Mus musculus: one gene and its partners. The protein of the gene in region 4 purifies or fractionates together with the protein of the main gene of each other region. This does not show direct contact. Links are inferred from orthologs where the notes say so. Each region holds a gene or a part of one and is shown on either strand. Other genes may lie near its edges. The genes, in order: Igsf8, Itgb1, Gnb1, Cd81, Cd46 and Ptgfrn.

Region 1 (2,489 bases), on a different chromosome or scaffold from region 4:
CAACTGCTGCTGTCCTTAAGTAGGCAGCCGTGTTCTGAAGCTCCTATTCGGCTGCTGTCAGAGAATAATTAAGGGCAGGAGGAAAAAGACTGAGGCCCCAGGGCCTGTGGGAGGAGTCTGGTCCAAGACTAGTTCAACCAGGAGAAATGGACCAGAGGAGGGTGTGCCCCAGTCTGGAGAGCTCAGAAAAGACTCGTCCCTTGGAGCTCTGTGAAAGGGGCAGAGCTCAGCTGGAACTCACCCCTCCTCTTCCTAGGTCCCCCTTCCCAAATAGAAGCCCCATTAGGACTTGGCTCAGCACAGACATTTTGGACAACAGATGGGACCCCGGCATCCCCTCATGCAGTTGGTGGGTAACAAGGCCCACAAAGGGACAGATGGTGTTTATGGTGGGAAGAGAGGCCCAGGTTGTCCAGCAACCACCCTACCACCACCCCACTCCCCCCACCCACCCCCAATGCTGCCTTTTATAGCTTCACCGCAAGAGAAGACACAACAGGCCTCGATTTTACAAAACCAGTTTATTCACATTTTAGAAAAACTAGTTTGAGGACAGGAACTGGACTTCCTACAACATGAGTGTGGGACTAAGAACGGCAGCCAGGAAACTTGAGGGAAGGAGGGAACAGGGGAGCCATGTCTCCCACTCTAGGTGATGGCTGGTCAAATAAATTAAAGGTGGGCTGGACAGAGGGAGAGGGTATCCAGGCAACCAGAGGAGGGGTGGCACTGGCTGGAAGACAGTCAACACCTGCAAGAACTGGAAAGAGCATGTGGAGTCGGCTGAGGAAGAGGCTCCCTTTGGCCCTTACCCTGCTACACGATCCTGCAGGACTGTGAAGCTGGCTGCTTCTCCCCCAGATGGAGGCCAGGTACAGCTCAGCACAGGAAGCCTGAGGAAGGCAGCTCCTTTCCCTCACCTGGGGTGCTACAGATCACCGCTTCCGCATCCTCTTCATAAAGCAGCAGGTGATGGTAGCCAGGACGCTGGCGCCGGTAACTAGGGCGACTCCTGTACCCACCAACAGGGGCACAAATAGGGTATCCACAGCTGGCAGAAAAGAAGACAGGCTCTGCTCAGAGAGTACCACGGTCTCTGACACTCTCCCCTGCAGATTTTCTAGACTCAGCCCTCCCCAAGGGAGAGCTAAGCGCCAGTCCTGCCTACCTACACTTCACACACAAACACAACCATCCCCCATCCCCCCCACCCCCCTCCACCCCCACCACCACCCCCCACCCCCGGTCTCAGCACTCAGGCCGGCTTGGGACCCTTCATGCAAAGGGATGTGGAAAAAGGATTGCAAGGGAAGACAGGAAGATGGAAAGGGGCAAACAGAGCAGGAACAGGTGGGTAGATGGTGGCTGTCACTCACCATGCGTGTAGGGGTAGACTGTGACAGGCCCGGAGCGCGCACTGCCTGCCTGGTACCAGCTGTAGTCCGCATGCTGCACCCAGGCACTTGGGGCACAGTGGTATATGCCTTCATCCTCAGGCCCCAAGCCGTGCAGTCTTAGCCGATGACTTCTGGGTCCCACCAGCTCCACACTGACAGGACCCCCTCCAGGCCGGACTCCCAGCTCTGCCACACCGTCCTGACCCACTCCACCCACAAGCTGAGCAGGGCCAGTGCTCAGCTCGCCCTCCTCTGGCCTCTCCACCCACCAGCTGGCTGCTAGTCGCAGCCCTGGGGGGCCGCCCCGCACAGATATGTTGCATAGCAGGGAGGCCGTTTCTCCCCGGTACACAGTGCCCCCTGCTAGCCACGCCACAGCCTCTAGCACCACGCCTGCAGAGCAAAGAACACGGGGGTTACCAGGTGAAGGCCCAGGGGCTAAGAGGTTAGGAAATAAACTCTATAAGTTCTGAACCCCGTCAAGGGCTCAACATCCTCTTACCTTCTTCTCTCACATGCACAGGGAGAGGCCGGGAACGAGCACTGGCCGCTTCACGAAGCCGGGTCCCAGACCCTCGAACATAGGCTTTGGCGAGGCAGCGGTAGGTGCCTGCATCAGCGGGCCTGGCAGCCTCCAGCCGCAGTCGGTAGGTTCTGGATGCTACTTTCTCCATGGCAATGTGCCGGTCCTCATAGCCAGGGCCCAGGCTGCCTATACCTTCCGTGTCCAGCTGGGCCACCAGGCGGCCGGGTCCAGGAGCCCCTGCAGGGGCCATCTCCCAGCCCACAGAGTACGCAGCATGACGGCCTGGTGGGGGCAGTGCACCGGACACATTGCACAGCAGTTCTAAGGGTTCGCCTGGGCCAATCCGACGTTCACCAGGTCCCACGGTCACCGCCAGCTGGCTGGCTGAAACACAGCAGGAGATGGGAGGAGTCACTGAGATGCCTGGGCCCCCCACCTGTAATTCTTCTTTGCAGAAATTTAGAGGCCTCTTATATCTCCCTCACCCCAGGACCCGAATTTCACCCTTCCCCCCATAGCCTTTGTATCTCCACGTTTATGCGGTACTCCCGATGCCCAACTGAGAG
Region 2 (4,292 bases), on a different chromosome or scaffold from region 4:
CCCCATAATGAATCTTCAAGTCAGCTGGGCTTATTACACTTCAAAAACTTTTACATTTAAATTCTGAGGAAAAAAAAAACAATCCTCTGAAACTTTTACTAGTGTCAACATGTTTATCTCATCACTCTGGTAACACAGGTAAGAATACTAGTACTCATACACTCACGGAACACTAATAAAATTATTTTCTCCAGACAACAAACTATGATATACACCTCCCTCTCTACATGTAAACCAGGGGGTGGGGCTCTGTTAGAAAAACACCAGAGAGTAAAGGAACTACATTAGGCAGAAAGCATTCTGGACAAACATCCGTCAAGCTAATTAATTTTCCTAGTAATAAAGAGTGAGGAGAGGTGAGCAGTGTTCATGGAGTTAATCAATACAGAACTATATTTTCATTTCATTGATGTTGATTCAGAACAGATTCAAATTAGGCTGACCAGAAAATTAAAGACAACTGATTACTTTTCAACTTTGTTGATTCTGTAATTTTCATGTACAATACTGAAGATTACAAACAACCTGGTGGGAGGGGGTAGGGGAAGACATGCTCTTCCAGAGGACCTGAGTTCTATTGCTAGTGCCCACATACCAGCTGACAGCCACTTGTGGGTACTGTTCCAGGAGATTTGACCCCTCTCTTCTGGCCTCCACTGGAGCGGCATACACACAGGGCAAACTTACAAGCAGGCAAATACGCACCCACATAAAATAAACAAATCAAAGCCTTAAAAAAAGGAAACAACCTCAAACAGTGAGATGGCTCAACACATGAAAATGCTTACCCAAGCTGGGCAACCTGAATTCAATCCCTGAAATCCACATGATAGTGGAAGAAAAGAAGAAACCTCACAAATGTATCCTCTAACCTCCACCTATGCTCGGCATACATTCCCACATGCAAATAATTATAAATTAAAATTAAAGAAACCATCTTAATACTGAACTTCATATCCTCAACAACAGATTCTTCAACTGCAGGCCTGTAAATTCAACAGATAAGCTAGAAACTGCTTTCTACTCACATAAAAACTAGAGTTCTAGTATCTTCTACTCTCCCCAAGTGCCTATATACAACATGCCAGTGTTTCATCCGTTTTCTATTTGTCATTCTATCATTTCTGATCATTAACCATGGTTGAATGAATCAAAATTCCTCATAAACTTGGATATCATATCATATATTAAGATTCTGATGTCAGTCCTTCCCTTCGGGCCTTGATGTCCATCAGTATGCAAGAGGTAACTCTAAACTAAAATTTCTTAGTCCATTCTACAGGTTATCTAGGATATGACCTACTGTAATGGCTGTGTGCGATTTAAAAAAGAAATCTAATCAGAATTCATCTAACATTTATTTCTGTCCTATGCAAGCAACAACCACCATTAAAAAATAAAAACCTTAAGTCATACTATCCTCTTCATACCCAAGTGGAATGGCATATCCAGGAGACTTTCCTAATACTACCAAAACATTCTGAGAAGTTTGTAGATTTTTTTTAACATAGCAAAAGCAATGAAAAGTAATTAATGTATATGAAGCATTGTTGTCTAAGTTGTGGTTTTACATTTCACTACCTACTGTGTCCTTTTCTTTTTTTTCTTTTCTTTTTTTTTCTTTTCTTTTTTTTTTTTTTTTTTTTTTTTTTTGAGGCATTGCCCTGGATTCCTCTTGCCATACATATACATACACACACACACACAAAATGCCTTCTTTATTTTACATTAGTTAGGTTACTTAAAGTTCAAATATAGGCTCTGGAGGTGAGCCCATGAACTCTCCAAATTACTTAAAACTCCTGCACCTCAGTTTCTTCCTTTGTAAAATGAGATAGGCAGTCCCAATACCACCATGGATCAGGATCAGGGTTCTGCAGTGAGGTCAGTACATGCTGGGAGTTTACATGCTGGGAGCTGGGTCTGACCCTCGTGTCACAAGAATTACTATAATTAGTGTAGGAACTCCTTTTCTCTTTTAAAGATGAGGAAACGGAAATAGGATAATTTATTACTAGTTATTACTAGGTTTCAAATTAAAAGTTCAAATTCACTGTGGCATTCGGGATCAGCGCGGTCATTAACCCAGCCTGTCACTAGGAGGCACGAGAAAGGGTAGGCAGCCACACTCCACGAGGCCCCGGGTGGGCACCGCCTCGCGGACCACGGGCGCTGCGGCCTGGTTCCCAGGGTCCCGCGCCGCGCTGGGGAAAGGCGCCCGCTGGGCACCGACGGACCGAACCCCTCTAAGGTCAGCGGCACCCAGATCCCTGTCGTACCCACCCTTGAACCCCGCCACGCCCCGGTGTGACAGACTGGGCTCGCGACCCTCCCTTAGGACAAGGCCGGGCGGGGCGGGGAGCTGCAGCCGAACGAGGCCGAGCGCCGCGGTCCCTAAAACCGGACTCCACCCGGCCCAGGCCGCAGAGACACGCCTGGTTAGCCCGAGTTGCCCGGAGCCCACGCCCGCACGTCCACACGCCCGCGGCCTTACCTTTTCGCAGCGTCCGCCCGACACGCGGGCGGCCCGGGCTCCGCCGCGTTCCGCCTCTCGGAGGGTCTCGGGTCGGTGTCGGCGGACCTCGGCCTTTCGGAGGGTCTCGGGCCGGCGTCGGCGGGCCTCGGCTTCTCGGTTGGTCTCGGGTGGCGTCGGCGGGCCTCGGCCGCTCCGCGGGTCTGGCGGCTCTTCAGCGAGTGGGCGGAGACTCGGCCCGCCTGTCCCTCAGGAAGCCGCCCCGCCCCGCCCCCGCCGCGAAGCTCTTTCTCCCGGGCTGCCCGGCTTTTCTCTCCCTCCGGAAACGCATTCCTCCGCGCCGCGTCAGCCGCGCCTGAAAAGGAGGGGGAGGCGGCAGGAAGAAGGAAGGTGGGGCAGGGTGCAGACAAAGGAGCTCGGTCGTTCGGCCCTTTCTGCCTGGGGTACCGCGCTGAACCACCGAGGGCGCCGGCCGCCCGGCTGGAAAGCCCAGCCGCAGTCTGTGTCCGGTCCCTGGGATCCCGAGCCAGACCTCTCTGTGGGCTGAGGGGACAAGAAGGATCGGGTGTTCTGCAGGCAGCCCTCGGACCCGCCCCGTCACCCTAAGATTGCAGACTCCCGCTCCACCCTTGCTGTGCCACCCTGCGCTCCTTGGCGCCGCATTTGCTCAATTTTCTATCTGGGTGGCCAAGCACAAAAAGGAAAAATGTTATGTTTGCGCACTTGCTTTCTCTTTTCTGGAAAAAGAATTGAAAAGTAGCCAGTCTCAAAATCTAAATGAGAAGCTTGAAACTTGGACTTGCCTCGTCATACTGAAAGCTGTGGGACAGCAGGTGCCATCAGCTTACCCGAAGAGTGTGGGCTGCCAGGAGGAGCAGGGCACCCAGCCGTAAAGACAGCTTTCATTGCCGGGTTTATGAACCCAAGAAATAGTGTTTCTGTTCTGGAAGAGTAAAACTGGGATGCCAAAAAAAAAAAAAAAGATTAATCACTATGGAAAAGTTATATGTTGCCCATGAGCAAATCAAATGTATTGTTTAACTAAAATTTTAATAAATGAGCATCGTTTTTCTAATTAGTAAATGACTGAACTTAAAAGGCTACGTCTGCATCGGCAGCCCAGCGGTAAAGCTCAGTGACGTTCGTTGCCTTTAAAGGTATTGATCTTACCACTTTGAGTTAAACCATTAGCCCAGTCTCTGCACAAGAAACAGCTTTATAAACATACTTTATCAATGCTTGGCCTGAACTGTGTGAGCTTTCATTCGTGTGACTTGAGGAGGGAACAATCTACCACAAGATCGACACACACACACACACACACACACACACACACACAAAATAGTGTTTGTGCTGCTCTCCCAGGACTCAACCTAAGCTGTCAGAGGAATACCAATTTACATGTACAAGTCATAAACTTTGAAGAAAATAGAAATTAATAAGTTCCATAATTGCTCAGAAATGTAGCTATACTTGAATTCATAAAAATGTTAAGAGATGGGCAGTTACTTAGCTATGTAAAATGCATGAACATTGTTCTAATTACTTGTCTCACTACTGGGGCACAATAACTGACAAAGCAACTTAATGAAAGAATTTATTTTAGCTCACAGTTACACGGTACAGTCCATCTCAACAAGAAAGTTGTAGTGGCAGAAGCATGAGGTCCAATTACACCCACAGCCATTTACCCTGTGCCTGGAGGATTGAAGTTCTACCTTGGCAGAAAATATAAGCTGCCTCTTGCTTTTTCAAAATGTAAGCCTTTCTCCACTGTAGCATTTACTGTGCTGTTGGTTATTCTCCCCAGCAATAGCTA
Region 3 (3,500 bases), on a different chromosome or scaffold from region 4:
GTTTCCATGTTTCTTAAAGATGAAGGCATATTGGCCCTGGTTTGGCTTCACTTTCAGAAAATTTCTGGCCGTTACTTTCACTTTTACTTGAACCAATAATCAACAGATCACAAGAGCAGTATACATCCCAGTTAGCAGCTTACACCACTGGAACATGAGATGTGTACCTGTGTGTCCCGCCAGCTCACGACTCACACGCACATTCCCTTCACGAGTTTTCAGGTTGTAAATGGAGCAGATGTTATCCAGGCCACCACAGGCCACATAATTCCCAGAAGGAGCGTATGCGCAGGTCATGACCCAAGAGGAGCGCAGAGGGATGGCATGAACCTAAATAACAAGAATACAGACAGGAAACACTATTAAGTTCAAGAAAATATGACTACAGCTGGGTGTATAGTTTATGTTGTAGCCCCAGCACTCAGGAGGCAAAGGTAGGTGAATCTCTGAATTTGAGGCCAGCCAGGGCTCCATAGTAAAACTGTCTCAAAAACAAACAAAACAAAACAAAACCAAACCAAACCAAACCAAACCAAACCAAACCAAACCAAACCAAACCAAACCAAACCAAAAAACCCTAATGAGTAGATAGGTGTGATGGCATACGTCAGTGAATCTAGGAGTTGGAAAGCTAAGAGAAAGAAAAAGAGGGCTTTTTGTCGTGTCTGTCTTTTTTGGTTCTGAGACTTGAACTCAAAAGTCTTGTCCAGTAGGGTGTATATCACCAGCCCCGATGGCAAGTTTGAGGATATTTTGAGCTATACATAATGGAAAACTATCTCAAAGAAAACACAAATTATATTTGCATTTTAATGATTTAAGGAGTGATGTTAATAGGATTTGAAAAGATTTACTTTCCCCTTTAATTTATCATGGCTATGAGCTTAAAAAAAAACAAAGACAAGCACATAAAAAACAGCCAGGCATGGTGATTCATGCCGATCCCAGCAATAAAGAAGCTGAGGCAGAACTCATTCATATTCATTCTCTCTGACACTCACATGCAATAACCTAACTGCACACTGGTAACACAGTTAGTCTTGCTGTTTAGATAGAGCAGTTAACATTCTGTAATCTTGGCATGTATTTACTAATTTTGAGGGAAAATACAACTGTCCAATTTTTTTTCCTTAATTGATGACAGCATTAAAACTTGTCTTGAGATTTAATTTCATGTTATCTGTAGGAACATTTGATTAACTGTTGATTAACTGAGTACAGAGCCTGGAAAGCTAAAGGAGGGAGGGCTCTGGGTTCCCCTTTAACTGACACACAGAAGGCTGCAAACCACTACGCAGACGCTGGGGATAAAACTCAAGACGTTCTGGAAAAATCAGGCAGTGACTGAGCGATCTTTCCAGCCCTGCACCTTTTCGTTCGTTTTTGCAGGCAGGGTTTCTAGAGCTCTGGCTGTCTTGGAACTCACTTTATAGACAGGGTGGCCCCCTAACTCACAGAGATCTACCTGCCTCTGCCTCCCAACTTCTGAGATTAAAGTCGTGTATCACCACGCCTGGCTCGGCTCCCCGTACTTTATGCGCATGTGTGCTTGTGCACACGGAGGCTGAGGCTGACACGGGCCCTCCCCTGACTGCTCTCCACCTTCTTCTGTGAGACAGTGTTCCTCAGGACTGTCTAGAGCTCGTCTGTAGGTCTAGATAACCAGATTGCTTTGTGGATTCCTTGTCTCTGTCTTCCAAATGCTAGAATTATAGACTGGCCACTGCAACCACTCAGAATTTAAATGTATTCTTTTTTGTTTGTTTGTTTGTTTTTTTAAATTTTTTTTTAATTTTTTTTTTTTATTTATATGTAAGTACACTGTAGCTATCCTCAGATACTCCAGAAGAGGCCATCAGATTTCATTACGGATGGTTGTGAGCCACCATATGGTTGCTGGGATTTGAACTCAGAACCTTCAGAAGAGCAGTCGGCGCTCTTAACCACTGAGCCATCCCGCCAGCCCCGTTTGTTTGGTTTTTTGTGAATACTATTTTTTAGAGACAAGGTCTCATGTAGTTCAGGCTGGTTTCACTTTATTATGTGGGTAAGCATAATCTTTAATGCTTGAGGCTCTTGCTTACATTCTCAAATGATAGATTATGAGCATGTACCACCATACCCAGTGTAATTTATTTCAATATAAGAGAAGTGGAAATTTAATTCAGAGATTTGTACCTATGAGGCAAACATTCTACCTAGTATCTCTGTCTTCTCCTTTCCCCTATCTAGCCATGGCAGGTTTGCCCTCTGGGTTTATTCGATCATCCTACCTTAGCCTCCTGAGTTACTAGAATCACAGACTTTTACCAATCTGTTGGGTTACATTGGTTTTTTATCTTTTGTGGTTCTGGGAATCAAATCCAGGGAATTATGCCCAGTAGACAAGTATTCTACCACTGAGCTACATTCCCAATCCTCCACTAAACATTAAAAAGTATAGTGCATCTTAGATTATCTCTTGTTACTACAAAACAAACTACTAACTAAATGGAATCTGCATTTCAGTATTCTAGTAATAAATTAGGAAAGTTTCCAGTCAAAACTAGGAGTGGAGTGTAGCTCTTGTGCAAGGACAAGGAAGCACTCAGCTCCTATCTACATGCCAAGACAGGAACCACAGCACAACTGTATGCCAAGCTTAATGGGTCAGCAACACAAGCTCTTCTATCGCCCTCCGAGGTCATCATTGCTCCATCAACAGACTGTCACTGTTCCAGGGAGGGTCTTGCACTGCCCACCTTGTTTGTGGTATAACTGTCCCAGATGATGAGTTTTCCATCCTGAGAGGCGCTGACAAGGAGCCTGGAGAAAAGATAAAGGAAAAGAAAAAACAGAAACAAAAAATCTTGGTGACCAACTAGAGCTTTAAAGCTACATTCGCTTAAAATATAATACACTTAATAATAAGAAAGAGGATCTCAATGCTCGAGCAATGGAATACCATGAGTGTCAGATAACAACTCAGCCCTGGGGACACCTGGATGACCAGACTCCCCAGCTCTTCTCTTATCACCCGAGAGATGGTACTGATCTGACCTGCTTCTGACGGGTTTCTTTTTTATTCCAAGTTAAATTAGATACACAGAGACATGAGACATGTCAAATATTTAGGACACAGTTTTGTTCATACTGACAGCAAGAAAGCTTGAATATTATGGGAAAAGCTTGAAACACTACCCACTCAGGAACCATTTTAATCCATTTTAAACACCTGCCCTGTTTTTATTTATATTGGGGGTGGGGTGGGATAGGACAGAAGCTAGAGTCCTCTAAGGAAGAAGGAGCCTCAGCTGAGAAAATATCTCCATCTTATTGGCACATAGGTAAACCTATGGGTATGTCCTTGATTAATAATTGATGTGAGCATGGCCAGTTTACTGTGGGCAGTGTCGTCTTTGGGCATGTAGTCCTGGATGGCAGGCTAAGTAAGCCCTAAAGAGAAAGCTAGTAAGCGGTATTCCTCTGCGGTCTTTGCTGATTTCCTTTCATGATAGACT
Region 4 (4,232 bases):
TTTGTGTCCTGCCCCATATATCTTGGGAGTCCAGAACTCTGCTGGCCCCAATATAGGTTCTGAACTCAAGCCCAAGGAGGACTGGTGGGAGTGACAGCAGGCAGGTTAGTGTGCCCGGAATGTCCCCTCCCACAGAGAAACCACTTTAATCTTCAAACTGGAAATTTTAAAAAGTGTCCATCGAAACATTTACTGTCAACCAAATCTCCCTTCTTAGAGCTCTTAGCCCCCGCCCCCACCACGGCCCAAAGGACCTCTCAGCCCCCTCCTTAGGCCCTTCTGACATCATTGCTCAGCTTCCTTTGGCCCCACTCCCTTTTGGAGACTGTGTCCAGTGTCCATTTCCTGAGCCTTCTCTGCTCCAAGCCCCTTGCCCCACTCTGGAGTACATTAGCTAGTCTACACACAATCCTAGGAGACAGAGACCCCCAAGAACTCCCACTTTAGAGGGAGGAAGTGAAGACTAAGGGCCAGAGTGGTGGGGTGGGGCTCCCCAAAGGTTCAATTTCATGATATCAGGGAACTATCAGCCACAGTACAAACCTTGCCACACGAGGGACAAAAGGAGTCCCTCTGCCAGGGTGGTGTCCACCAGTTGTAGCCTGGTTCTGCTCCACATCCCTATCCACTGTGGGGCCAACATGAGTAGGGAGGAGAGGTCTGTGGGATTGTGAAAGGCTACAGTTTTCACTGTTCTGCAGTCAGTAGGCAGGTCCCTGGGAGCAGGGAGAGGCTTCAGAACCGTTTCCTGGAGCCTCAATAGAGACCCCAGGGACATGTTGGGACTCCACCCCAGCTGCCTGGGAAACGAGCAGCTTCACCCAGCCTCAGCACTCCAGGGAGTCTGAGGGTCTAGCGCTTGGATCAGGTGGGTGAGCAAAAAAAGAAAAAAAAGAAAGAAAGAAATACCCTACAGGATCCTGACATCCCACATCTGAAGAATAATGGGGGTGGGGTGGGGTGGATAACACACTTCTTGAGGGTGCATTCAATTCCTTGCATGGTTCAGAGTAGGCAAGCACTGTCCAACATGACTACCCAGTCGAGACCCCAAGGCATGCCCGGGCAGAGCAAGTTTAACCCCATCGCCCATGCTGCTCCCTAGAATGTGTTCTCTGGAGTCACCGTGACTGACAATCTTGGTCCCTGCAGCACCGCGTGAGCATACATAGCCCCAGCTGAGTTCAGCCCAGTTCCTGCCCATCCCCAACGTCTTATTCCCCTCCACCCCACCCTGACCCGCCCTGGGATCTTCAGCAGTCCTCGATGGAAAACAGGTGTCCCCTGTCCAACACACTCACTCCAGGGGCCGTTGTACAAGTTTGCCCTCTCAGGAACAACTTTAGAGAAACATTGTCTTGGCATAACCTCATTTCTTCCTGGGAAGGAGGGTGGTGGGAACAGCAGTCTGTGCACTGCAGCAGGGAGGGTGGCACCACTGTCCAGAGGAGTGGCCAGCACTGCTCACTCAAGTGCCCGCAGGCAGGTCTGTTAAGACTCCCCATTCCCAACCCAGTTAGGAAATGGAAAGAAGCCCATACCACCAATGGCTACTCCCCAGCAGTGAAGACAGTCAGGACCCAGGGACACTTGGAGACCCTCTTATACCCATGTCTCCTTTCCAAGATGACCAAATGGGTGTGCACTTCTTTCCAAAGTGGAGAGCCCAGCTTAGATCCTGTATATAGGAAAAGATCCTAAGCTCCTGGTTTGTACAGATCCCAGATCTTTGCAACACCCTGGCCTTCACCAACTCAGAACTGCATACCCTCTTCCTCTCAGGATCTAAGGGTCAGGCCGGGGCTGTAATCTGTGCAGGAGACGACAGGCAAGGAGGAGGGGCAGCTGGGGGAATGGGGGTGGGGGTGGCCAAGAACTGGGGCACCGTGCGCAGCAGCACGCGGCCCGGGCTGCCCTGCCTTCTAGGCCTGGAGCTCGAGCCCCCAGGGTGGCAATACCAAGCTGGAGGGTAAGCAAGGGTGGAGTAATAGTGGGGTTGAGGTCTCCGAGGCAAGTACGGAGCGTGCCCCCACCACTTCGAGGCCGCCTATCCAGGGGCGGTGGCTAGGATGAGCTCATGGGGGCGGGGCGCCAAGATCCCGCCCTTCTCGACCCCCCTCACTGCTCGCGATGCAGGATGGTCCCCAAAACAACATTCAGGAGGGTGCGAGTACCCCCTTCATAGCTGAGGGCTCTTGATTACCTGGCTCTAGCCCGCAGACTCTTGCACCAGTTCCCAGCACTCAGAGGGGACAGGCCAGCGATCCCCTGATTTCCCGGCCCCAGAAGCCCCTCGAGCCGAGGCCCAGAAGCTCAGCCCTCGGCCTCAACCCGCTGGCGAGGGGCGCCAGGACCCCGATCGGCGCACGGAGCCCACAGGTGGCGCCGCAACTTCGCGGTTGCGCTGCGCCTTCTCAGCAGGGCCTAGCGCGCTGCCCAGCCTGGCTACCGTGGGGTGCGCCCTGTCCCCAGTGGCTGCTCACCCAGAAGACGAAATTGAAGACGAAGAGCAGGTATTTGATGCATTTGGTGCAGCCCTCCACCCCCATGGCGGTGCGCGGCCTGCGGAGCTTGGATTGGTCCTGGAGCGGGCGGTATGGGGACGCAGTACCGGGGTCCGGGACTGGCAGATAGCCTGGAGCGCTTGCGGGCCGGAGAACTGCGTTGCGGAGAATGAGACGTAGGGTAGAGAAGGGCTGGAGGCCTAGCCGGAGGCGCGAGAGTCACTATCTCTTTGAAGCAAGGACGCGCTCGCTCGGACCGGGCGCGCGCGCCTAGCTCCTCACTCTTTATAGACCTCTAGGTCCCGCCCCTCCGAGGCCCCGCCCAGAGGACGCTCCACCCCTGGCCCCGCCTTCCGCCCGCGGGGTGCCCGGACCAGGGGTACTTGGGTGGGTGCTGCCACCTCAGTCCCAGAGTAAGCGTTCTGGAACTTGGTGCAGCTGGTTCTTGGGGACTCGGTGCACTGTGCGTGCGCAGGATGAATCTCCAAGTTTCTTAAGGGTTCCCAACCCTCGGGGCAGGCTTCTGGGTCGCGACTAAGAACTGGCCACAAGATACTGCCCCAAAGAAGCCACACTTACTTCCTCCGGTACTCGGACGCCTTGGACTTTCCCGGAGGGTACCCTAGTGGAGGTGTCTCGACAGTAAAGAGTCTTAAAAGTTAACATGTTTTGTGTATATTGATCTCCCAGGCAGCAACTCCGTGGGCCTGAAGGTCTAGAATGGAATTCTTTGTAGCCTTGCTAATCCCCTATCTCACAGATAGAGTTCCTGGCTGCAGTTCTGGAGGCTGCATTTGGGAAGGTCAATAGTGTACCCAATGTCTTTAGCCAGTCTTTAGGCTCGAGAACCCTCAGGGGCACCTTCAAATATTCATGCCATCCTGGCTGTGCCTTCCAAGAGTCCATCCTCCATCCTCTAGCTGGTTCCCTGAAAGCTGGGATTAATAAGGAAGTGAGGAAAGATTCAGAGGGCAGAGGTGCTTCCTTCCCGGGTGAGGAATGGCTGCTGTCATCATAGATGATATTCCTGTGAAATCTTGGCATTCCCTTCCCCAAACTGAAGGGCAATGGGGCTGCTTCATTAGACTCACTGGGAACCATGGAAGGACCAGTTCCCAAGACTCAGCCTTTTCCAGGTCACTCCATGTTCTTAAATCTTTGAGCAGTTAAGGACATTGTTCCCTATGGAGATCACACCTGGCACCCCTCTGGCTACAGGACACTGGAAATATGTTTAAAAAGGAATAGATATACATATATATTTAAACAAAGGAAAGGAATATCTATAATATATATGTGGAGAGAGAGACAGACAGACAGAGACAGACAGACAGACAGAGAATGAGAATCTCACAATGTAGCCCTGGTTCCTGGAACAGAGCTCTGTCTACTTTTGCTTCCTAAGTGCTGAGACTGTAGGTTTAGGACACCATGCCCAGTTGTCTAAAGGGCGAAAATTTGAACTATGTATAATTTACATGTAAACCTGATGATTGGCCAGTAGCTGCCTGGGTGGAGCTATCTCTACTCGGCTAGGCTAGTAGGCTTCTTGAGAGTTAATTTGTGCATTTGTTTTGGCTTCAGGCTGGTATAGCTGCTACAGTGAAGGATTGTGTCCACATTTATAGTTCTTGGAGGCTGAAGTGGTGTCACAACAAAAGTAACACTAGTCACCAAATGCTGGAGTAATATCACACTAAAAGTCATTTGAGTCTCCAGGAGGGAGTC
Region 5 (4,285 bases), on a different chromosome or scaffold from region 4:
CAGAGTAAAGACTGAGATACTAAAGTGTAAGCACTTACTGATCTCAGCAAGACCTAAAGGCCTAAGAGAGCAGCAGACATAACAGGGGACTGCAGCTTTGTTCAAAGAAGCAGCCACTCTTCTGAGGGACGGACTTCAGCCTCAAAATGTGACAGATTCTCTTCCTGATGAGCATTATCCACTTATAAACTGCTTTCCTCACAAATTGAGTTGTTCCAAAAATGAGAACTTATTCTCCTTTAATTTTCCCTACCTGGGACAACGATTTTTCCTTTTATGTTTTCCAGGCTTCGATCTATATTTTGCTTTCTAGATTTTACCTTGTTTCCCTTCATTTATGTTATATCCTATCCATTTTATCTGATTATTTGATTAATAGATTTAATCCCAGCACTAGGGAGGCAGAGGCAGGAGGATTTCTGAGTTCGAGGCCAGCCTGGTCTACAAAGTGAGTTCCAGGACAGCCAGAGCTACACAGAGAAACCCTGTCTCAAAAAACCAAAACAAACAAACAAACAAAAAATTTCAAATAACTGCAGAATCTTCTTTTTTTCTTTCTTTCTTTTTTTTGTTTGTTTGTTTTTGTTGTTGTTGTTGTTGTTGTTGTTGTTGTTGTTGTTTTCGAGACAGGGTTTCTCTGTTTAGCCCTGGCAGTCCTGGAACTCATTTTGTAGACCAGGCTGGCCTCAAACTCAGAAATTCACCTGCCTCTGCCTCCTGAGTACTGGGATTAAAGGCGTGTGCTACCACGCCCAGCTACTGCAGAATCTTCTTTTAGCTCATCCCAAACATTATTCTTTTTCAAAATCCATTGGTTTCCTATTATGCTAGTACCTGCCTCTTCTATTCCTTGTGAAGTGAATTTTATAGCGATTAATGAAAAAGCAAAGTTCTTGAAAGAATGTTCCTCCTGCAAGCAGGAAGAATCTTTTCTGTGCTTCATGCATTGGCCAAATATATTTAACATTCTGGTACTTGAGTTTTGTAAGAGCAACAACACTAAGACAAAACAAACAAACAAACAAAAAAAAAACCATTTGGAGTCACTAGTGTGAAAAAAAGAAAAGATCTCTTGCCTTCCTATTCAGAGAGGTAGAGAACAGAAAAGCCAGTTTTATAGGTGTGATGCAAGTTGAGAGATGGGTTAAGTTGGGTTATGTCTACTAAGGGTAGTCAGAAGAGGTCTCCCTGGGGGGGGGGGGTGACATTCCAACTAAGTTTGAAGAGAAAATAGTCAAATATGTAATATCAGGAGAAGGTTCTATATATAAGAAAAACAGTAAAAAAAAAAAAACAAAACAAACAAACAAAAAAAAACCAGTGGTTTAAAGTGTCAGAGTTGGGATTGTTGTTTGTCCTGTCCCTCAGTCATTTTAAAATCCAGTCAGAGAAGCATGTTCCTTTACTCCAGAGCATGGTTCTATTCCTTCATGTTAAGCTTTGGTTATTATTAGCAAATATTTATAGATCATATACTATGTATTGCCACTAGGGATCTATCAGCACAATAAAGTGCCTGCTTACATTCCTATACATATATGTGTGTGAACAATCAGTGGAAGAGGCTCACAAAACCAAGACAGGCTTGTCACTGTCTCCCAACATCTCCATCCTCCGGACCAGCACAGAGTCTGGAACATAGAAGGCAAAAGTTGCTGGATGGATACTGATAAGAAAAAATATAGAAATACAGACTATATGAACAAGATTATGTATATATGTCACAAACACAGAGTGTTGCAAAACAGAAGAAAACAGAAGTATTGTTCTTTGTGTAAATTTTATAAAGTAACTAACCATGTATAGTATTTATTCCATGTAATGAAACACCATCCAAATGTGGTGGGATAAAGCTTGAGTTTTAGTTCATGAGCTAAGGTGAAAACCAGAGTGCTACTTATACTTCTTGTCTCAGGAGTGATGTCTAGATTGTCCTTTTTCTACTATGACTTTATCTGTAAAGGAAGATAAGATCTCAGAGCCATTTGGTAATAGAATCAGACACTGTCTGCTTTGGCTAGGAATGGACACTAATTCCAAGCAGGGAGTAGGAGTGTAAGGAATATGATTAAACACACTGTATATGTGTGTGTGTGGGGGGGGGGGGAATCTAATGAAATTGAAAAGCCAAACAAAATAGCCACTTTTTTTTTTTTTTCGAGACAGGGTTTCTTTGTATAGCCCTGGCTGTCCTAGAACTCACTTTGTAGACCAGGCTGACCTCGAACTCAGAAATTCACCTGCCTCTGCCTAAATTAAAGGCATGCGCCACCATGCCCAGCAAAATAGCCACTTATAAACCAAGCCCATACATACTGCCTCGGGCAACAAGGAAATTTGACTTAAAGGGGGAGGCCAAGTGTGACTTTCCCTCCCTTCTAAACCCAGAGTTGCTTGCCCACAGCATAAGCCGTGCAATCTGCTACTGACACAGTGGGGCTCTAAGTGAACATCTACCCCTCCCTCCACTCAGGCTGCCCACCCCTTAACTACTGCCTACTAAGGAAATCTGCACTTTCGGGGTGAGGACTGAATGATCTCCATAGTCACAGCAAAACTCACACATTTACACAACCCTAAGAGGGCTCTACCAGGAACTCCTGAACTCCTCCCAGCTTCCCTGCGACACAGCCTCTCTCCTGGATCGTACCAGATAAATGAGACAGCAGAAACAGAAGGGCCTCAGCATAGACGCCCAAGGAGCACCAGAAGAAAGTGTAGCTCTTCCTTCTGCGACAGGGGTGCGTTGAGTCTGGCATAAGAGGCGCCGCCGTCATGTTACCAGACTGAAAGGGAAACTGGGCGCCAGGAAGCCAGAGAGCAAGTTTTAAGATAGGTGAACAGACGCAACAATCCTGAAACTAAAGTGTGCTGAGCGACACAACAGGTGGGCGTGGCCAGGCCGCTCCTGGCAGGCTGGTGACTGGTAGCGCTAGCTAGGCCAATCGGCTGGCAGTAAGGTGGGGCCTCAGTTCAAGCGGCTGGGCCATGAGGTTGCGCTCCCGCCAGGAATTTTGGGCTTCTCAACTATTTTCCATTGTCCCACTTTGCTGTGCTCCTTCCTTACCTAGCTGCGTTACTCCCAAGTCCTCTGCAGCTTTGCTGCACTCCTCAGCTTGGATGGCACAAGCCTTGTCCTCAGTTGCATGTCAGGGTTGTGCTCCTCTCAGGGCTGTTTTCTTAAAGATGCAGCTCAGTATTCCCTCTTCAGCGGCTCTATAGCTGTTCTAAGGTGTGCTTACCAGCTGGGGCGTACCTTGGCTTACATATACAAAGAGACCGCTTTATTCCAGAAGGCTGGAAAGACTTGTTGGCCCTGTGATCATTGCTCTGAACTTGAACTTGAAGAATAAAAGTGCGGGAACCTATAAAATAGACCTAAAGCACTATCAGGAGGCTGCCTCAGACTTGTATTTGGCATTAGTCACAGCTGATTAGGACAAGTACTTATATTTTCCTCATTTGAATTCTCTTACAGCCTCATCTCACAATCCTCAACTCTCAAAGGTTTTCCCATTGGATTCTCAGCTTCTAAAGTCACACCCCCACCCTCCACATGGTTGCTGTAAATTATTGCACAGAACACTTCTCTGTGGCAAGCATTGCAAGCACACCCCTGAAGTTGAGCTATTATGTTTTAGCCCTGGTTAGGAATGCTTTCAGTGACAGTGTTGACTGTGAACATCCCAGGATCCTGACAAATGTCAAACCTTTGGATGAAGGAGAGGATTCAAATTTGGTGTTTTTTCCAGTTCATGGGAAATATCTTGTTAAACTGTCAAAGAGAAGCAAGGGGGAGTGCGGGGGTGTGGACCAAAATAGGACTCAATCTCCTGTATGCTTTTTGAAGGGTGGTAAGACAGTGGGATGAAAGGGCATTTAAGTGGTAGAGAAATCAGGGTTAGGGCTTTTTGTGTGTCTCGGGAATTATGTTTACATTGTTTTCAGAGGGTGGGTGCAGTGGTTTGAATAGGAATGGCCCCTATAGACTTATGTGTTTGATATTTGGTCCATAGGGAGTGGGACTATTAGGAGATATGGCTTTGTTGGAGTAGGTGTGACTTTGTTGGAGGAAGTGTGTCACTAGTGGATGGGCCTTAAGGTCTCAGAAGCTCAAACCAGTTCTCTGCCTGTTGCCTGTGGATTCAGATGTAGAACTCCCAGCTCCTTCCACAGCACCATGTCTGCCTGCATGCCACCATGCTTCCTGCCATGATGATAATGAACTAAACCTCTGAAAAGGTAAGACAGCTCCAACTCTTTTTCTTTATAAGAGTTGTGTTGG
Region 6 (3,500 bases), on a different chromosome or scaffold from region 4:
TCTGGCCTTGGCAGCTCCCTCCCTCCCTCCCTCCCTCCCTCCCTCCTATTCTCCCTCCCTCCCTCCTATTCTCCCTCCCTCCCTCCTATTCTCCCTCCCTCCCTCCTATTCTCCCTCCCTCCCTCCTATTCTCCCTTCCTCCCTCCCACCCTCTTTTCTTCCCCCTTCCTCCCTCCCTCCCTTCCTTCCTTCCTTAATTTCATCTTATTTTTTAATGTGTAGGGATATTTTACTTGCATGTATGTCTGTGCACCACATGTGTACAGTGTCCTCAGAGGCTATAAAAGGGTATTGGATTCCCTGGAACTGGACTGAGAGATGGTTGTGATTGCCATGTGGGTTTTGGGAATTGAACCTAGGTCCTCTGTAAGCAGGCAGGGCTCTTAAGTCTGAGACACCTTGGCAGTTTTCTTAAGGCAGATACTTGAAGAAGTGGTTTACACACTTTGAGAAATACTCTTACAGGGTCCTTCCTGCTCAACGCCAAGACTTGATTTTTATTTCAGAAGCTAGCAGGATGGACGATTTGTTGGAACGCGAGTGGTCCTTGACTTGTTCCTTGGACAATTCTTATGTCGTTGTGTTTTCTCTTTCCCCACTTCAGAACCAGAATACCAGGTCTACCTGAACGCTTCTAAGGTCCCCGGGTTTTCAGACGACCCCACGGAACTGCAGTGCCGGGTGATAGACACGAAGCGTCTGGAGGCCGGTGTCCGACTTACCGTGTCGTGGTACTATAGAATGACCCGTCGCAATGACGACGTGGTGGCCAGTGAGCTTCTCGCAGTCATGGATGGGGACTGGACTCTGAGATATGGAGAGAGGAGCAAGCAGCGGGCCCAGGACGGAGAGTTTATTTTTTCTAAGGAGCACACAGACACATTCAATTTCCGGATCCAAAGGACTACGGAGGAAGACAGGGGCAATTATTACTGTGTTGTGTCTGCCTGGACCAGGCAGAGGAACAACAGCTGGGTGAAGAGCAAAGATGTCTTCTCCAAGCCTGTCAACATATTCTGGGCCTCAGAAGGTGGGGACATCATCCTGTCACTGCTCAGTTTGGTTTAATTTCTTAAGTCATCTGTCCATGTTTGTGTAGGCACCCTCACTCTCCGTTCACACTGGAAATCTGTGCTCATACACTAGGGAACTGGAACCACATGGCCCTTTGGGGACATGGGCCTCTGCCACTCACTGTCCTTAGCAAAGCCTTGCATTTCCTGAACCCCAGTCAGTGTTCCTTTTTCTTTCTTTTGGATGCCAGCCTCCTCTCTGAGGACAGTTGTCCCAGAATCTACCTCAGTGGCTGTGTTTTCTTCCCACATTCCTTGAGTAGCTGGGAATAGAGGAGTCAGGCACCCCCTTGTCCCTCTGCAGTTTCTACCATTCCCCACCAGTCCTGAAAGACCCCTCTCTGCCCAGGGCCACACCTCTTCCACCTGCCACTCATCCTGATTGACTCCTTGCTCTTCTGCTCATCTGCTGGAGCTGCTCGCCTTGGTTTCATGGCCACTTTTGTTACTACTCCTGTCTGGCTAGCTGTGTTGAAATCTTCCTGGGAGCTTTCAAAAAAGAAAAGAAAGGATCCCAGTAGAAGTTGTATTTAAATTGGTCTGAGGTGTGTGCGGTCTGGACACTGGGATTGAATCCTCTAGAGGGGCCACTGTGGAAGACCCTAGTGTAGACAACATTTTCATTCTCAGCCCCCTGCCTTTGTCTCTAAGTATCACGTCCTCTGTCCCTTTTGGTCTTTCACTCCCAATTCTTTTCATCTGACCCGTTCACTTCTGAAATCCAGCCCTCCATAGCTCAGTGTCACTGTCTGGTTCTCTAAGATCACCGGCTCCCCAGATCATTCCCTTTAGTGCTTCAGCCTTAGTGGTTCTGTCTTCTACCATTGTCCTTCCTTCTTCCTGGGCCTTTACTTCTCTCTTACCAGAAAGTCCAACATGGACCTGGAGCCCGTCCTGATACACGTCCAGGGCTGGGGGTAAGGAGAGCTGTTTGATCATCTACGGATATCCAGCCTAAGTTCCCAGCCAATCATGTCCCTTCTTTGCTTTCTTAACTCTCTTTCCCTGGCTTGGTCTACCTTATATTCTGCTTAAAACACTACCTGATTCAAAGCCAACTTTGCTGTCGCTTTGGCTGCATATGCAGAGTTAGATGCAGTTGAAGGAAATAGCTTTCCAACAGTGAAGGTCTCACTTCAGATCTCCAATCTCTTCTGTCACGTGGGCTCTCAACATTGAGAGTCATTCTGGTTTCCTTTGTGTGTTTACTTCCCCACTCTCCTAAGTGATAATTGCACACCACCTGCTCTCTGAAAACCTCCTCCCCCAGCCTCTGTCGGCTCCATTCCCTATAAAAAGATCATCAAAGGAGAACTTGTATCTGCCATGTTCAGCATTGAGCCTGTTACTTGCCCGTATGTCTTAGCAAAGGTTAGCCCCTCTCACAGCTCAGACACATGCCCCACCCCCTTATATCATCAATATTCTCTCTCCTCTGGTCCTTTCCCATCAGCCTGCTAACACTGCTTTAGAGAAACCGCTTTTGGTCTATTTCTGTTTCTTACAACCTTGCCCACTACTCTGCCCATTTATAGCGGTGGATTCGATTTATCTATATTTAATATCTCTCATTTCTCCTCCAGTTCTCTGTGGTACCTGCTCCCCAACCCCTTAGTCACATGTTGATATTGCCAAAGATCAACACACTACAGAACCCTGTTTGTCACTTTCCTTCCTGGGCCGGGACAGTTTCTCCCTTGCAGGAATGCTCTGGCTTTTCCCACTGCTTGTGGGAAGCCTTTCCGGGCCCTGTTTCCCTCCTCACTGCAGTACCTCAGCCTCCCTTCCGTACTGCTTCCTACTCAGTTCCCACTCAGGACACATCAGGACACAGTCCCTGCATTCCTGCTTAACTTGCTCAGCTTTAGCTTCACAGGACACATAGCAGGGGCTGACTCCCAACTGTGCCCGTGTGTGCCCGCATGCCCCAGAACTTCGCCTTCACTGATATGGTGCCTTCCTGCCTAGCAAGCAGCTCTTAAGTTGCTGTCCAAAATGGAGCCTCTGGCCTCTGCCACCCATCTTCTTCCACCTTTAGTTGTTGACCTAAACCTTTACCTCTGACTCCTCACTTTTGCTTTGCTTTGCTTTGCTTTGCTTTGCTTTGCTTTGCTTTGCTTTGTTTACCTGCTAGGGATTGAAGCAGAACCTTATGGAGTGTTATGCAAGCCAGCCACATCCTGACCCCTAACTTCCCTTTTTGGTTGTTGTTTGATTTATTGGAGGCCTGTCTTGTTTTGAGAGGCAAGGTCTCCTGCAGCCCAGTTGTCCTCAGATTTACTGTGTTGTCAAAGATGACTGAGCTCCGATCCTCCTGCCGCTACCTCCCAAGTTCTGGGACTGCAGATATCACCATGCCCAATTCTAACTTCTTGAGACCAGTTTAGAGTCTAATGGCCTCTCATGCTTCAGGCTTATGAGCCCAGT

What was found.
Region 1: the proteins of Cd81 (region 4) and Igsf8 purify together in Homo sapiens (co-immunoprecipitation; 3 studies listed by BioGRID and IntAct, with this or other methods). This does not show direct contact. The link is inferred for Mus musculus from reciprocal best matches to the Homo sapiens genes CD81 and IGSF8.
Region 2: the proteins of Cd81 (region 4) and Itgb1 purify together in Homo sapiens (affinity purification with western blotting; 4 studies listed by BioGRID and IntAct, with this or other methods). This does not show direct contact. The link is inferred for Mus musculus from reciprocal best matches to the Homo sapiens genes CD81 and ITGB1.
Region 3: the proteins of Cd81 (region 4) and Gnb1 purify together in Homo sapiens (co-immunoprecipitation; 4 studies listed by BioGRID and IntAct, with this or other methods). This does not show direct contact. The link is inferred for Mus musculus from reciprocal best matches to the Homo sapiens genes CD81 and GNB1.
Region 5: the proteins of Cd81 (region 4) and Cd46 purify together in Homo sapiens (co-immunoprecipitation; 3 studies listed by BioGRID and IntAct, with this or other methods). This does not show direct contact. The link is inferred for Mus musculus from reciprocal best matches to the Homo sapiens genes CD81 and CD46.
Region 6: the proteins of Cd81 (region 4) and Ptgfrn purify together in Homo sapiens (co-immunoprecipitation; 7 studies listed by BioGRID and IntAct, with this or other methods). This does not show direct contact. The link is inferred for Mus musculus from reciprocal best matches to the Homo sapiens genes CD81 and PTGFRN.

The regions. Positions count from the first base shown.
Region 1 is NC_000067.6:172,317,855-172,320,343, reverse strand, and holds the end of Igsf8 (immunoglobulin superfamily member 8 precursor), read right to left. Parts: intron 2,308-2,489; coding exon 1,900-2,307; intron 1,791-1,899; coding exon 1,377-1,790; intron 1,052-1,376; coding exon 936-1,051; 3' UTR 921-935; intron 761-920; 3' UTR 501-760; downstream 1-500. UniProt on the Homo sapiens protein: Member of the immunoglobulin superfamily (IgSF) that links tetraspanin-enriched microdomains to the actin cytoskeleton and plays several important roles in innate and adaptive immunity.
Region 2 is NC_000074.6:128,684,162-128,688,453, reverse strand, and holds the start of Itgb1 (integrin beta-1 precursor), read right to left. Parts: upstream 2,801-4,292; 5' UTR 2,495-2,800; intron 1-2,494.
Region 3 is NC_000070.6:155,539,861-155,543,360, reverse strand, and holds part of Gnb1 (guanine nucleotide-binding protein G(I)/G(S)/G(T) subunit beta-1), read right to left. Parts: intron 2,806-3,500; coding exon 2,742-2,805; intron 331-2,741; coding exon 168-330; intron 1-167. UniProt on the Homo sapiens protein: Guanine nucleotide-binding proteins (G proteins) are involved as a modulator or transducer in various transmembrane signaling systems.
Region 4 is NC_000073.6:143,051,318-143,055,549, reverse strand, and holds the start of Cd81 (CD81 antigen), read right to left. Parts: upstream 2,801-4,232; 5' UTR 2,550-2,800; coding exon 2,484-2,549; exon of another isoform or gene 1,864-2,483; intron 1-1,863. UniProt on the Homo sapiens protein: Structural component of specialized membrane microdomains known as tetraspanin-enriched microdomains (TERMs), which act as platforms for receptor clustering and signaling.
Region 5 is NC_000067.6:195,089,449-195,093,733, forward strand, and holds the start of Cd46 (membrane cofactor protein precursor), read right to left. Parts: upstream 2,801-4,285; 5' UTR 2,778-2,800; coding exon 2,651-2,777; intron 1-2,650. UniProt on the Homo sapiens protein: Acts as a cofactor for complement factor I, a serine protease which protects autologous cells against complement-mediated injury by cleaving C3b and C4b deposited on host tissue.
Region 6 is NC_000069.6:101,058,167-101,061,666, reverse strand, and holds part of Ptgfrn (prostaglandin F2 receptor negative regulator precursor), read left to right. Parts: intron 1-604; coding exon 605-1,030; intron 1,031-3,500. UniProt on the Homo sapiens protein: Inhibits the binding of prostaglandin F2-alpha (PGF2-alpha) to its specific FP receptor, by decreasing the receptor number rather than the affinity constant. Functional coupling with the prostaglandin F2-alpha receptor seems to occur.